Notamacropus eugenii: one gene and its partner. The protein of the gene in region 1 binds, or shares a complex with, the protein of each later gene. Links are inferred from orthologs where the notes say so. Each region holds a gene or a part of one and is shown in the gene's direction. Other genes may lie near its edges.

Evidence for each region. The genes of interacting proteins can lie anywhere in the genome.
Region 2: the proteins of AP3D1 (region 1) and AP3M1 are in contact, whole or in part, in a cryo-EM structure (PDB 9C5C), measured with the Homo sapiens proteins. The link is inferred for Notamacropus eugenii from reciprocal best matches to the Homo sapiens genes AP3D1 and AP3M1. Residues at the interface, in NP_003929.4 of Homo sapiens: Lys29, Glu388, Gly389, Thr390, Thr391, Arg393, Glu429, Arg432; in NP_001307192.1 of Homo sapiens: Ser25, Ser27, Asp30, Tyr31, Glu34, Pro52, Asp104.

What each region holds. Positions count from the first base shown.
Region 1 is NC_092875.1:64,318,327-64,325,534, forward strand, and holds the start of AP3D1 (AP-3 complex subunit delta-1), read left to right. Parts: upstream 1-4,121; 5' UTR 4,122-4,463; coding exon 4,464-4,559; intron 4,560-7,208. UniProt on the Homo sapiens protein: Part of the AP-3 complex, an adaptor-related complex which is not clathrin-associated. The complex is associated with the Golgi region as well as more peripheral structures.
Region 2 is NC_092872.1:236,273,805-236,281,688, forward strand, and holds the start of AP3M1 (AP-3 complex subunit mu-1), read left to right. Parts: upstream 1-4,852; 5' UTR 4,853-4,953; intron 4,954-5,336; exon of another isoform or gene 5,337-5,439; intron 5,440-7,884. UniProt on the Homo sapiens protein: Part of the AP-3 complex, an adaptor-related complex which is not clathrin-associated. The complex is associated with the Golgi region as well as more peripheral structures.

The sequences.
Region 1 (7,208 bases):
CCCCTTCTCACTCTTTGCATGTTTATATATAGTTCTACTAGTACAACCCAATTATGTGGCAACAAATTCCCCTATCTTTTCTCCTAGTTTTTCCTAATGTATCCTTTCCTCTTCCTTCATTTCCCTTTTTCTTACAGTATTTTCAAAACATAGTAAAACTATCTATAGGTCTTCTGTCTCAATTGACTACCTCTGTGATTCCTTGTGACATCAGGGTTTTGAAAGAACTTTTCGAATACCTTTCCCATTAGAATGTAAACAGTTTATTCTTATAAAGTCCCTTCTGATTGTTCATTTGTAGTTGCATTTTTATTTTTTTATCCCCTATATTTGTATTTCAAAGTTTCTTTTCAATTTTAGTTCTTTCATTGGAAATGTTTGAATGTCCTCTATTTCATCGAAGATCTATTTTTTCCCTTCTATTATTATACTTAATTATGGTTGGTAATTTTTGGTTATAAACCTTTATCTTGTGCCTTTTGCAATACCTCGTTTCATGTTCTCCATTCCTGTCTTGTGATAATTGTTAAATCTTAAGTGGTCCAGACTGTGGTTTCTTGATATTTGATTTTTATTTTGGCTGCTTATAGTGTTTTTCTTCTGTTTGGAAACTCTGGATTTTGGCAATGACATCTCTTGGAATTTTTTTTAAAGTGTCTTTAGATAGGTCATACATAGGTTCTTTTTTTCCCCTCTCATTGCACTCTTATATGTCCTGACAATTTTTCTTTCTTTTTCCCATTCAATTTTATTTTACATTCAGTTTCATATTTTCTCCCTCCCACTCCACTTTCCCTGCCCTTTGAGAATGTAAGAAATATAAAACCAGGCAATTTTTCTTTAATGATTTCTTGAAATGTGATCAGGTAATCTTATGATTCTTAAGTTATCTCTCAATCTGTTTGTGATATGAGATAACTTATATTTCTTCTATTTTTTAATCCTTTGACTTAAAAAAAAAAGAATTCTTGTCCCTTAGAGTCATTAATTTCTATTTTTTCCATTCTGATTTTTAAGTTTGTTATTAGGTAAGTTTTCATCTCTCTTCTGTTAAGCAGATGATCCTATTCCCAAATCTTTCTTCCATATCTCTCATTTCTCTTATAATACCTTTTTTAAATTCTTACATCAGTTTCTCTAAAGAATTCTTGTTGTTCTTATAGGCATACTGTTTTTGTTTCTTTGAATCTTTGATTATAGATGTTTTTAAATTATTCTCTTCTGCCACATTTGCATCTTGGTCATCCTTGGCATCATAAAAGAATTTTATTACTTTTTTTTGTTTACTTATTTTTGTTGCTGAGGCTTCAGCAGTTGAATTCTATGTCTCCAGGGATCAAATCAAATTGAGGATCCTTCCTGTGTTTAGGCCAGACTTTCCCTTTCCTGGGGTTGTGGTTTCAGCTCATGTCTTTTCTTCCATCATAGATACCCACCTTTTCCTTTTTGCCTTGGATCAGCTTTGGTTGAAGTTTGTTCCTTTACATGAGGAGAGAGAAGAAGAAGAGGCCGTTTCTTTACTTCTTAGTTAAATCCAAGGTTGCCTTTCTTTGGTGGAAGAGACCTAGTTGAGACCTGTTCTTTGAGAGGGAGGAGGAGAGAGGAGGAACTTTATTTTTATTTATGTCAGCTAAAGACCTCCCCTACTTTTTTCCTCCCCACCTAAAAACAATGGGAAACCTTTGCAGAGGCTGTTTTTATTTACAAAGGATTTTTTTTTTAAGTTTTTCTTAGAGTAGTGCAGAAAGTCTTTCAGTTTTCTTTCTTACAGCTGAGTACTTCTTCTTCACCTGAAGACTTTTACTTTCATCCCTTAGGGGATCTGGATATTTACTACTCTTCTAAGGGATGAGTTGGTTAATCAGATTGTTTAGTGATAGTATAGAACTGATCTCTACTTTTTTCCTTCTACTTTGACATTTTGGTTTCTTGAATAAAAAAGACATGCCTTTTCTAGAGGTGGCTTGGTAGTGCATTGGACAGAGTGCTGGACTTGGAGTTAGGAAGACCTAATTTCAAATTCTGCTTCAGATATATATATTCACAGACATACATATATACATACACACATATGTATATATATATATATGTATATATATAGGTAGATAGATAGATAGATAGATAGATAGATAGAGTTAGCTGTGTAATCTGCAGACCTGAAGGTGGACTTTTTTCATCTGTAAAATGGGGATAATAACAGCACCTATTTTATAGGTTTGTTGTGTGGATCAAATGAGACAATATATATACATATATGTCACTTTGTAAAGTAAAGGCTATATAAATGGTAGCCATTATTATTAAAGGAGAACATAATGATAATTGGATTCTATTTATCAGAATAAGATGGGGAAATGGAGTAGATGGGGAAATGGGAGGGTGACAGGAGATCCTTTTGGGGTGGCCTTAAGGCAGAAAATGTCCTGGGTGAAGGTGAAGACCAATGGTCCCAAGGAGCACAAATCCCAGTGACTTAGGTCCTCCCAGACATGCCCTCTAGTATTCCAGTTTGGAAGTTAACATTGTCTCAAGCACCTCTCTCTCCTTCCCCCTCTCCCTGTACCCCAATGACTAGCAAAGTGTTTGGCCCATAGATACTTAATAAATGATTGTTGATTAATTGAATAGAAGGAAGCTACAAGGATATTGATTGCCAGTTAGTCAACTAGTGTTTGTTAAGCACCTACCATGTGTCAATGCTAAGTGCTGAGAATGAACAGAAAGGCAAAATCAATCAATTTATCTAAACCTATCTATCTAAACCCTCAAATAGAAGGAACAGATCTCTAACATTTTAAGCTGACCAGCAGTGGTACAGAATGGTTCCAGGTAAAGAACTCGTCATTAGAAGGGCAAAAGAGATGACTCCATCAATAAAAAAAAAATAGAGGAGGCTTCTTGCACTTAGCAGAAAGTTAAAGCAAGAGATGTCTAAGATCCTTTCAACAGGTTCTCTCATTTAGGTTCAGAAACCCTTTTAAGAGGCTTTCTTGCTTTGCCCACTATGTAAGGTTCCATGTTTTCTGTTTGGAATTCAGTTACTACTTCAGTTTCTTCATCCCTAAAATGGGAGGGGGGGTTGGACTAGATGACCTCAGATACCCCTTCCAGTTCTTGAGCTATGATCTTATGACTTAAAAACACCTTTTTCATCTTTTCAATTACTATTTTAAAAATCCCTTCCTTCCCCTGTCACTCCAGACAACCAGGCTGTCTGCCCCTCTCCCCTTTATAAATATTGTTCCATTGGATCCTCACAACAACTCTGGGAGGCGGGTACTTTTATAAAGCTCGTTTTACAGATGAGGAAACTGAGGCAGGCAGAGGTTAAGTGACTTGCCCAGGGTCACCCAGCTAATGAACTCACATCTTTCCCCCTCGGGCTAGGGCCACCTACCTGCCCCACCCCAGAGAGCATGCAGTCTACATCTCTCTTCTGTGTTGCTCATGCAGTATCCGGAGTGGGTGCCATCAGCCTGTGAGCGCCACGAGGACCCGGACTCTGTCTCTTCTAAACTTTCTGTTTTCCCCGGCACTCACTCTGCACGCAGTAGATCCATATTACATGTCAGTTGAATGAATGAATGAGTGAATGAATGGAATGATCCAAAGAAAATGGAAGCATCGGCCATTCAGGTAGCTCCTGCTAGGCTACTGGGCAGCAAGGCAGCCGGCAGCCTGTAGGGGCTGGGTGTTCCAAGGGACGCGTGTCAACGCTCCGCTCCCAGTCTTTTTCACGTTTGTCCCCTTAGCTGTCACTCAGGGAGGGGTGGGCCCGAGAGAAACGGGGGGAGGAGTCTGGAAGGGGCGTGACTATTATTTCTAGGTGACCAGTGAGACAAGTTTCGGAGCTTGAGTAGGTGGGGCTACGCGCCATGGGGCGGGGCCCGCGGAGGAGAATCCAAGGCGGGGCCTGAGCTTGTCAGAGGTTGGAGGGAAGGCCTCTCAGGGCAGAGAGGAGGAGCCAAGGACGTTCCGATTGGGCGGTCCAGGGGTCGCTAAGGAAACGTGGCGCGCGGCCGCTAGGGGGTGGGGGAAGCCGGATTCGGCGTCCTTGGGAACCGGGCGGGTCCAGTCTCGGAGGGAGGCGGAGCCATGAGGGGGCGGGGCCTACGGGAAGCGAAGAGAGGAGGAGGGAGCGGCGAGAGCTGTCAGCTGACCACGCCGCCATCTTGTCCGCCATTTGCAATCTGACTGGAGCGGGAGCACTAAGGGAAGAATCCTGCAGGCAGCGAGCCGGCGCCGGTCCAGCCGCCGCCGCCGTCTCCGCCCGCCCCGTGCTGCCTCCGTCTGGGATGTGACGGCCTCCGGCCCGGCCCCCTGCCCTTCTTCCCTCCCTCGCTTCGGAGCGCCCCCGGCGGCAGGCCCAGCCCGGCGACCCCCTCCCGTCAGCCCTCTCCCTCCGCCCCGGCGCCCCCAGCCCCTGCCCCAGGCCGGCTTCGGCCGCCGCTGCCGCCGCCGCGATGGCGCTGAAGATGGTGAAGGGCAGCATCGACCGCATGTTCGACAAGAACCTGCAGGACCTGGTCCGCGGCATCCGGAACCACAAGGAAGACGAGGTGAGCCTTGCCCCGCGAGCCTGGCCGGGAGGCCCGGGGCCAGGGGCTGCCCCCACGCCCCCAGTGGCACGGCCACGTCGGCTCCTGTCCGGCCGCCGCCTCCCTCCCGCGGCGCTCCGGCTAGCCGGTCTCCGCCCCCGTGGCGGGCGCCTTCCTCATCCCCCCGCCACATTCAAGGCCCTTCTGAATCCGAGTGTGTGTGTGTGTGCCCGTGTGTCCGTGTCCCCGATGCTCTGGTTGGGCATCCCCGATGTCCCCCTTTGTATAATTCGGAGCTCCTCCAGGTTGACCACCTCTGATCTATGCAGTTACTGCACCGTGCATTTATCGAGCGCCTGTTGTGTGCAGGGCGCTGCTCAGAAGTGTGCTCAGGGCTGTGAAATCCTTCCCGGCCCCTCCGAACCCCACCCGTCCTTCCCCCAACGCCCCGGGGTCTTGGATGGTTTCATTTCTACTCTCAGGTCTGGGCAAGGACTCCAGGCGAACCCCGAGCTGAGCCTCACTGGGGGTGCGGGGGACACGGGGAGCCTTTAGGAAGCTCTCCTGCCCGATCTAGTGACCCTCCCCGGGAGCGCTTTCCTGGTCTGCCGCCGGAGAGTTATCCCCGATAATTCAATCAAAGTTGAAATAAGGAAGAAGACGAGGGCCTGCCGCAGTGGGGCCTTGGGAGTGGAAAAGTGGACCTCAAAGAAGCCGAAAATAGGGTGTGGGGAGGAAAAGAGTGCATGTGACTTCAGCCGGCCCTAAACTGAGACCGAGAAGGGGCTTGCACGGCAGGGGCTCAGTAAACATGTGATGGGATGTATGAAAAAAAGTGGCAACAGTATCATTGAATGTATCCACCTTGTAAACTATTCCCGAAGCGTCCTTAAAAGGCAAAACCGTTTTCTGTGCTCTGGATGACTGGTGTCAGTTTGAATATCTCGACATCTAGTCTTACAGGACTGTTATTGAACACTTCAAAAGACTGAGATATTATCATCTTTGCATTTTGTTTGCCTTTCTTGTTTGATTCTCATTTATGAGACAGTTACAAGCCCGGTTACAAATGTTGAGAAACTGTTAGAATCCTGCTATTGTGGTTTTGGGGAAAGGAACTAAGTAAGGATCAGTTTCAGTGGAGTTATTGTTTCTCAAGCACTGTTGTCTGAAATCCTGCCACATTCTGAAAAAGCTCACTGTTGAGGACAGTTCATTTTCCTCTTCTTTACTCAAATTGAGGGGGAAAAAAAACTGGTAAGGAGTAGTCCGGTATCTGCAATAGTTTACAAGATGTGATTTGCTTTTTATGATACCTGCCTATCCTAAGGCTTTTTAGGAAGGGTAAAGATAAGGAACAGGTATTTAATTTCTTGTAGGAATTATTGTTACATGTATAATATTGACAGATAAGGTGGAAATTCCCTTGGGATATGCCACTTTGTTTCCATTTATGTACGCTTTTCTATATTTTGATGTCATTTAGAGAAAAATGAACTGAACTCAAAAGAAACTGGTATTTTTTGCAGCTTGGGTAGAGTCTATATTTTATATCCATGACTGCATTATTTGTTAAGGGACCAGCTGTCTGATGTACTTTAAAAACACCTTCTAACTTTGACTGAATTGAAGGAATATAGTGGGAACATCTCTCCAGAACCCCTTAGGTGCAGCTTACCTGACTGCTTGCCAGCACTCTTCATTGCAGGTTCCCATCTGACACCTGTCAGTTGATTCCAGGAAACGGTACCAGAGTCAAGCACAGTTGGAGAGCTCTTCAGGAAAAAGACTTGTTGAGTCCAGATCCAGCCTAGATCATCTTAGCCTCTTGAACACTAGAGTGGGAGAGAGGGCTAGCTGAGGACAGGATAGGATGGGACTGAGCTGGGAGCTGGGGTGCATGTGCCATCCATTGTCTTGTCGCCACTCTTGATACCTGTCATTTCAGTTGCAGTAGTAAGAACTTCCATGAACTCCTGTTTGTTTTGTCTAACATGGGTGAAGGGAGGGCTTTATCAGTGTTCCATCCTGTACTCCTCCAGCTTCTAAAACAGTGGAAGAACAGGATGCTCTGAACAGTGTTGGCAGCATAGAGTCAAATAACTGGAGGGTATCTTTGAGATCATCTTGTTCAAGTCAAACATCTTAATCTCCTTCCTGCTCATACATCAGTTAAAGCTATGGTTTTGAGTCAGCTGCTCTGTCTCTCTTAAGTCTTCTCTTCTTCAAAATAAACACTCCCAAGTTCCGGGAAATATGAAAATTGCTGAGTTTCACAGATTCTTGAGTTGGTTATTAACTCCCCATCATTAGTCTATGTGCTTTTTGAGTTTTTCTAGCTATGTTTATATTTTTTAATTAATAAAACAAAAGAGTAATGACCCCTCAGTGAAGAAATGCATATTCTGGTATTTGTGATTTAATCATTCCCCTTCCAGACTAATTATAATTAGTAGCTTCGAGTAATGGAGTTTTTGTTTCCAAGCAAACTTAATCGACAGTTAGGTATAGTGAAATTGTTGAGTTGGGGTGCAGGACTGAGTAAAGAAGTAAAGCATATCTATTCATTGAATGATGGACATGACTTTGGGCACCTTAGGAACTTCAGGAAAAATATCTTTTTTTCCAGAAATTTTTACTTTTTTATTAGAAAATATTGTTTGGAAACAT
Region 2 (7,884 bases), on another chromosome or scaffold:
CATCTGAAGTTGGATTTGAACTCAGATGCTCCTGGCTCTAGACCTGGTACTCTATCCACTTCACCACCTAGCTTTTATTAGGTGCTTACTATTGCATCTATCACTGTGCCAAGCTCTAGGGATACAAAGAAGCGGATTGAGCTGCTGGGCCTGAAGTCAGAAAGATATGAGTTCCATTGTGGTTTCAGATATTTATCCACTGTGTGACCTTGGACAAACCCCTTAACTTCTGCCTCCAATTCCTCAACTACAAAATGGGGATAATAATAGCACCTACCTCCCATGTTACTGTAACAAGCAAAGGAGACATTTTGAAAGCATTTAACAGTGCCTGCAACATACTAGTTCCTTAAAAAATGCTTGTTCCCTCTCTGTCCCCAACAAAAGCAAAAATAATCCTGCTCTCAAGTTCATATTCTAATGGAGGAGACAAAACACACACACACACATACACACACACACATCAATACATACAAGTTTAGAACAGAGATGCTAGGTATCCTTAGAGGAAATGGCACTAGCAGCTAGGGAGAAAAGAGAAAGTGGCTCTCTAGCTGAGTATTATAGAAAATCAGGGATCCCAAGAATTGGAGTTTGGAAAGGAGAGCACCCTAGGCCTGGTGGCCAACCAGTACAAAGGCATGGGGATGGGAAATGGGGCTTCACATTCCAAGAACAGCAAGCAGACCAGGATGACTAGATTGTAGAGTATATGGAGGGAAGCAGGAACGAAGAAGACTGGAAAGGTAAGGAGGAACCTGGTTGTTAGGAGCTTCAAATGTCAAAGGGCTTTACATATGTAGCAGGGAGCCACTGGAATTTATGAAAGGGTTAGGGAGAAGACAGGCAAGGTCAGACCTATGCCTAGGAAATTCATTTTGGCAGCTCTGTGTTGTAATTATTGAAATGTCATAGAGAAAATAATTACAAGACCTGGCAAATGCCTAGATAGGTAAGGTAAGTGGAAGTGGAAGTCAAGGGGGACGCTGAGGTCAGGAACTTGAGTGACTGGGAAGATGAGGGTGCCCTTGACAGTAATAGTGAAGTTTGGAAGTGGGGTGTGTGTGAGAGGAAAAGAGATTTAGTTCCAGTTTGGAACATATCATTGAGGAGCTGATAAGATCACCAAATGAGAGAGAAATAAGAGAAAAGAGAAGGTGGATAAGTCTGTCAACTAGCACTTAGGTGCATACTATGGTCAGCTAAGCTCTAGAGATACAAAGGAATGGCCAAAACCAGTTCCCGTTCTTGAGGAGTTCAAGGTCTAATGGGAGAGGCTATATGTAAACAACTAGGTAGAAACAAGATCCATACAAGATAAATGGAAGATCAACAACAGAAGGAAGAGATTAACATTAGCATTAACCAGTCCCAGTAAAATGAAGAGGTCAAGGAAAGACAGAGCCTAGAGCAAGAGTAGGGAACCTGTGGCCCTCTAGGTCCTTGGGTGCTTGTAACTGAGTCCCAATTTTACAGATCAAATCATTTTATTAAGGGGATTTGTTCTGTGAAGTTTGGATTCAGTCAAAGGGTCTCACTTGAGGCTGAAATTCCCTACACCCCCCACCTAGCAGAAGAGTGGGTGTGACATGGATAATAAAAATCCAAGCAAAAGAGACTAAGAAAGGATCATAAGGACAGAAGAACCAAGAGAGACACTGTCACAAAAACCTACAAGAAACAATCTTCAGCAGGAGGAGGTGGTCAATCAGAAGTGTCATATACTACAGAGAGGTCAAGAAAAATGAGGACCAATAAGAGGTCATTTTATTTGGCAATAAACAGTCAGAAAGTATTGGTTAAGCACTATGCTAAACACAAAGAGAGACAAGAACAAGTCTGCCCTCAAGGAGCTCACCTTCTAAACAACCATGGACATCTAAGATGGATTTGTGACAGCTGGTAGTCTCAGAGGGAAGGTACAAGGTGGTTTGGGGGAGAGATGGAAAAAGCCACCTGCAGAAGGTGAGATTTTTGCTGAATCTCGTAGGAAGCCAGGAGGCCAAAGTGGAGAGGAAAGAGCATGCCAGTGCCAAGGCACTGAGTCAAAAGAATACTGAGATCACTGGTAGTTTGGAGGGAGCCACAGAGAAGTCGCCCTTCAGAAATGAGCAGTATAATCCAGAGGAAAGAGGGCACTAAGAGCATATGACACCATTTGCAAACTCCCACGCTACAATGACATCAAAAAACTCCACAAGATGAAACGCTGGTGTGGATTTGAAAAAAAAGGAAGCTGAAGGTGAACTTCCACACAAAAAGTTCTTTATTACCTTCACAGTGAGAACACAAGGGTGGTGGAAATTTGTTTTCTGCACTTTGACAATCAAGTTCAAAGTTTGTTTCTTATTTTTGCATGGCAAGGGCTGAGCACAGAAGCCAGGGTATGGCCTTTGTAAACTTTGTCTGGTAGATTTATATGTAACTGTCATAAGGATTTGGTGTCATTGCCAGGCATGTGAGATGAGAACTGAAAAATAAGGGTTAGCCACATACGCAAAAAGGCTTTACAAGTGTAGAAGAGTTACCCTGAACAATATGAAAAAGACCAGACCACCCACAACCTAATATAATTAGAATGTATAAGATTTATGAATATGTATTTGGCCAAATCCTTTTTTAAAAAACACTGCAGGATGGTGGCAATTTCTTCCTGGGTGTAAACTAGGCATAAGAAATCACCTAAGGCAGGGGTTCTTAACCTGGGTTCCACAGACCTCCCCACCTAAAGTGGTCCATGGGGGGAAAAAAACCTAAGTTTTTATTTTCACTAACTTCCAACTGTAATTCAGCATTTGCTTTCAGTTATTTAAAAACATCATTCTGAGGAGTCCACAGGTTTCACCAGATTGCCAAAGAGGCTCACAACAACAACAACCAAAATGTTAAGAACCCACTTTTAAGGTAATCAAAAATATCACTAAAAGCACAGGTCAGAAGGCCTCAAAGGTGGAAAGATCCATAGGAGGTCACCTAGTCCACTCCTCCTCATTTTGTGGATGAGGAAACTGTGACCAGAAAGGTTGAAAGAGTTGCCCACTGCCCAGTGCATATTCAATATGGGGGATTTGAATAATTCCAGGTTCAGTGTTCTTTTCCAATGACCCTACACTGAATCAATCAATGAATATTTATTAAGCACCTCCTATGGGCCGGGTGCTTAGTTTTCAAAATCACCCTCAAAGCCTGCAAAAATGAATCATTTAACATTATCCCCTCCACTTTGGCTCAAGTGCATAGAGTGCCTGGTCTGGAGTCAAGAAGACTCATCTTCCTGAATTTAAATCCAGCCTTCAGACACTCACTTGCTGTGTGACCCTGTGCAAGTCGATGTAAGCCTCAGTTAGCTCATCTGTAAAACTGAGCTAGAGAAAGAAATGGAAAACCACTCCAGAATCTTGGCAAAGAAAACCCCAAATAGGGGTCCCAAAGATTCCGACACGACTGAACAACAACTACATTTGTAACACCTACAGTTTCCAAGAGCTTTCCCATGGATCTCGTTTGACCCTATCTCTTGAGGAAGCAGGCTGAATTCCTGTATCCTGGTTACTGAATGCTGAAGCTCCGGAAAATTAAGACACTTGCCAAGGTCCCGGTGCAGTCAGGAGTAGAACACCCCTCTTGGCTTGGAAGCAGATTCTAGCCCACAAGTTTGCATGTTCACAGTTCTGCCTTTTTCTTACTTGAGAGAGAATGGGTGGAGAAGGGTATGTGGTGGGGTGGCATCTATACAGTCTCTTGTCATCCACGTGTGTGTCTGCGTACACATACATACATACACACACACACACACACGGGCCTTAATGGGATAGTTCTTAACAGTCGGAAGGGCCTGTTTTCAGCTCCAAATCTCGCTGTCATCGCGTGCCTATGGATTTCAAAGTCCAGAAGCTTTGGGATGCAAGCATTCCATTTATTACTGAGGAGCGGACGAAAAAGTAACATTATTTTACAGGGAGCGCGATTACGACGGAGATAAATGTTTAACTAGAGGCTCCAGCGGCTCGCCTCTCCCTTTGGGCACGCCAGCGCGGGCCGGGGTCTGCACACACGCCGACCTGGCGATGCCCGTTCCGTCCTCTCGCCCTTCAGCATACCTTGCCCAGGACCCCAGGACCCCAGGACCGGCCGGTCTAGTGCTCCGCTGCGCCGGGCCGGGGCTGGACGCAGCGCGAAGCGCCCACGTGGGGCCGGGCCTGGCCCCCCCTCCCCTCGCACGGCCGCGCTGATTGGCTCCGAGCCGGTGGGGGCCTCGCGGGGCGGCTCCGCGGCCCGGCTCTTCCCGGCCCCCACGTGCACCCCCTCCCAGCCCAGCGGCGCTCACCTCAAATGCGACGTCGCCTCCACTTTCGGCTTTTTAGCCTGCGGTTCCTCGTCCGCCGCTGCCATCTTCCCGCTCTCTGCCCTACTCTCGCGCCCCTGGCCACAAGCGCCCCTCCCCCGTCCGAGGGCACACCCAATCCCCGCCCCCTCTCCTCCCTCCTCCCCCGGCCTTCCCAAGGGCCGGCGCAGGGTGCCCTCTCTTCGGGCCGCACGAGTGTGAGCCCCTCCCCTCTCAGCCCCCAGAGCTCGCCCCGCCCCCAGGTCAGGCGGCCTCCCGGGCTGTCTTCGCCCCGCCCCCGAGCGGGGCCTTGGCGGGAGAGGGGCAGGAACTTTCGAACGGGCAGCCCCTGGCGCCTGAACGCAGGGAGTCATACGACCGACAGCTCCGCAGCTTCTGCCTCGGGATGGAGTGCTCTCTAGGCCCTTGGAGACCTTTGCTCTGCTCAGGTATTCCCTTCGGAAGGCGATCTGAGCGCGGCGGCGGTGAAGCCCTCTCTCAGGCAGTGAGCAAAACAGCCCGGGCCGCAAGGTCCCCGCCGCCGCCGCCGCCGCCGCCGCAGCCTCTGAGCCGGCGGCCTCCTTCCGGAACGGGTCCGGGGCTAAGCTCGGGCCGCCCGGCTCCTCGAGGTAAGTGAGGCGGGCCATCGGGGCGGCGGTCGGGGTCAGGGTCAAGCGGGGTGGGGAGGGGTCCGCAGAGCCGGGGGCGGCGCTCCTCCCGCCCACTCCCTCGTCAGCGCCGCCGGGGAAGGGCGGGGCGGCTTCTAGGGACCCGGCGCTCCGGGGAAGGGACGCGCCCCGGGGCAGGTGAGGCGACCGGGTCCTCCTGACCAGCACCGGCCCCTCGACGTGGCCTACGGCCCGCCCGGGCAAGGGATGCGTCCCTGCGACCTCTGTGCCTCAATGATCCACCCTGCAAGTGCTAAGTAAGCGCCAGCTATATGCCGGGGACACCGGCACCAACGCCTGTTCTGGTTATTACCCTCGCCGCCAGCATTCTAGCGATCGCTTACCTCGGTGTTTCAAAGCCCAGCCACCCCGGGGGGAGGCATCGTTATAATCCTCACTGTACCGGAGAGGAGACGGGCAGGGTCCTGGACTTGCTCGGAATCACCCGAACTCCGGGCCGGGGCCGACGTTCTCTCCCCTGCGCCACCTCGCGGCCCTGCGTCTGTGGGACTCCGGGGGAGCCCCGGAGCTCGTGTTTGTACCCTGGCCAGGGTCCTCATGGACCTCCTTCCCGTAACTTCTGGTCCGGCTCTTCGCGCTGCCCAGCGCGTCCCCAAAACCGTGTCACACACACACTCACACGTTCGTTTTTCCGTCTTTTACAGTTAGTTTCACTGTCAAGGTGGGGGGGTAGAGAAGTGTCCGGCTGTCTTCTCATTTCACAGACAGAGACACTAAGACTCAAAGCCGAAGTGACTCGCCCCTCCTCCAGGAGCTCCGCTGGCATCGGAGCACACGGCGCATACACGTACCTGTGGAAGACCGTTATCTTCCGCGACACTTGAAAGCAGGTTCGGGCACAAAGTAAGCCTTGGAGAAAGGCTTGACCCACGGACAGTCTAGTTGATTTGTCATGCCCTTGACCATAGCAGCAGCAGTGTGGAATTGTTTATTATTATTATTGAACAAAAGAGAAATGTAGACATGAGAGTGGAAAGGGCTGTCCATGCTCCAGCAGAACCTATGCCAGCTCCAGGAAGGACTTGAGACCCTGGAGGTTGGCTGGGTGAGATGGGAAGCATGGTCTGGGTCTGGCAAGATAGAGGCTAGATTCCAAGCAGAGCAGCCCAGTCCGGAGGCAGAGTGCCCAGGCTGAGGGGCGTCAGATGAGCAAAGGAATGGAGGGCCTCTGCTCCCGATGTGGTGGGGAGGAGGGCAGCCCTAGGGGAGCTGTCCAGGTGCTCTTACAGGTAAGCTTTCCTTGGATGGATGTGAAGCCCCGAACTATTGTAATAGTGGCCTTCAGATCTTTCCCTTCTCCTTCCCAGGACCTAAAATAGGACTGCCGGAACTCACTCTTCTGCTCAAAAAAATACCTGTGAAGTAAAAAGTTCAGTCTCTCCCACTCCAAAGGCTCACTCGCTCCCACACATAGAGTCACACCCCTAAAAACACTTGAACTCTTAAAACTGTACGTTTGTACAGACTGTTAGAAACATGCTTGACACCAATAAGGTGTCAAGGAAATTTTATTACAGCAGAGTTCAGAGGAATTGAACACTTTGGCCAAAGCGGACCTCCACCCTCATTTCAAGAGGAGGGAGCACTGAATGCATGAGGTATATACCTTTAGTTCAAGACAGATTCTCCCACCAGGAGTTTGATTGGTCGTCCTCCTTTAGGTCACCATCTTCTCTACATGCCCATTACATAACCCCCCCCCTTACTGTGATTCCCCCCAAACATGCTTTAACATAGGACCCATGATCAGAAAATGGAGGGATAATTTTATGCAGGGTGTGTCTGCTTATATGCATGAAGTTCATTAAGCAAGCCCAGTAACTCTACATCATTTTTCTTGACTAGTTCCAGCTAACTGTAGATTTGGTTCCTTTATCCAAAGCTTCCTAATTTTCTGATTGCCACTGTCTGTCTTTTGATTGGTTGAGTCCACCTGCAGTCTGCTGGCCGCCTTATTATCTAACTTATTCTCAATGGCTTCATCAATTAACAATAACTTACCGTGGAAACTTAACTTTTGCTGTCTCTCGCAAGGCTATTCCTAGTACTTGGAAAGTTCTCCCCCACTTTTTTCACCAGTTGAAATCCCACCCTTCTTTTAAAAGCCTTTCCATAAGAAATGCTTTATTCTCAAACATTACACACAGTTATTATGTAATTATGTATTATGATAGCTAACTTCGTATTTTACAAAATATTTTCACATATTTTCATTTCTCTAAAGATCTAAAAGTATTATGCTCAGTTTACAAATGAGGAAACTAAGGCACAGAGAAGTAAAGTGATTGCCCCAGGGTCAAAGTGCCAAAGGTAATAATATATGGACCCTGGTTTCTCCTACATCTGAGTCCAGTGATTCTACTGTATTATATTGCCTGTTCTAGATATCTGTTACTGTTTTATCTCCTTGATTGTAAACGCCTTGAAACCCAAGCTTTGTCTTTATCAAAACTTTACATCTTCTCAATTGTGTGCATTAGTGTTCTGCATGAAAGTGCTTAAAATGTACTATTTTTTGTAGCGTGAGGCAGGACATGCTAGGTGTCCTGTAAGCAATGTGAACCAATCCCATTAAGTGATTTCAGAGGGAACCTTTGAAGTATGGGTAGGATTCTAACAAGGGTGGGGGGTTATCCTGAGTGGAGAGAGGGGAAAGCATGAAGTTGTGCCAGTAGTTGTGTTTGGAGGAGTGATCAGACTAGAAATTGGAAAGGTAAGATCACAGGAGTATTTCATATTAGAAGACACTGTTAGAAGATTTTGCAAGTATAATTCCTACTGGAGAATATATTAAAACCTAGACACTAGTAAGTGTCAAAAATAAAATTCAGACCCAAGTCTTCCAAGTCCAGTGTTTTTACCTACTACCCC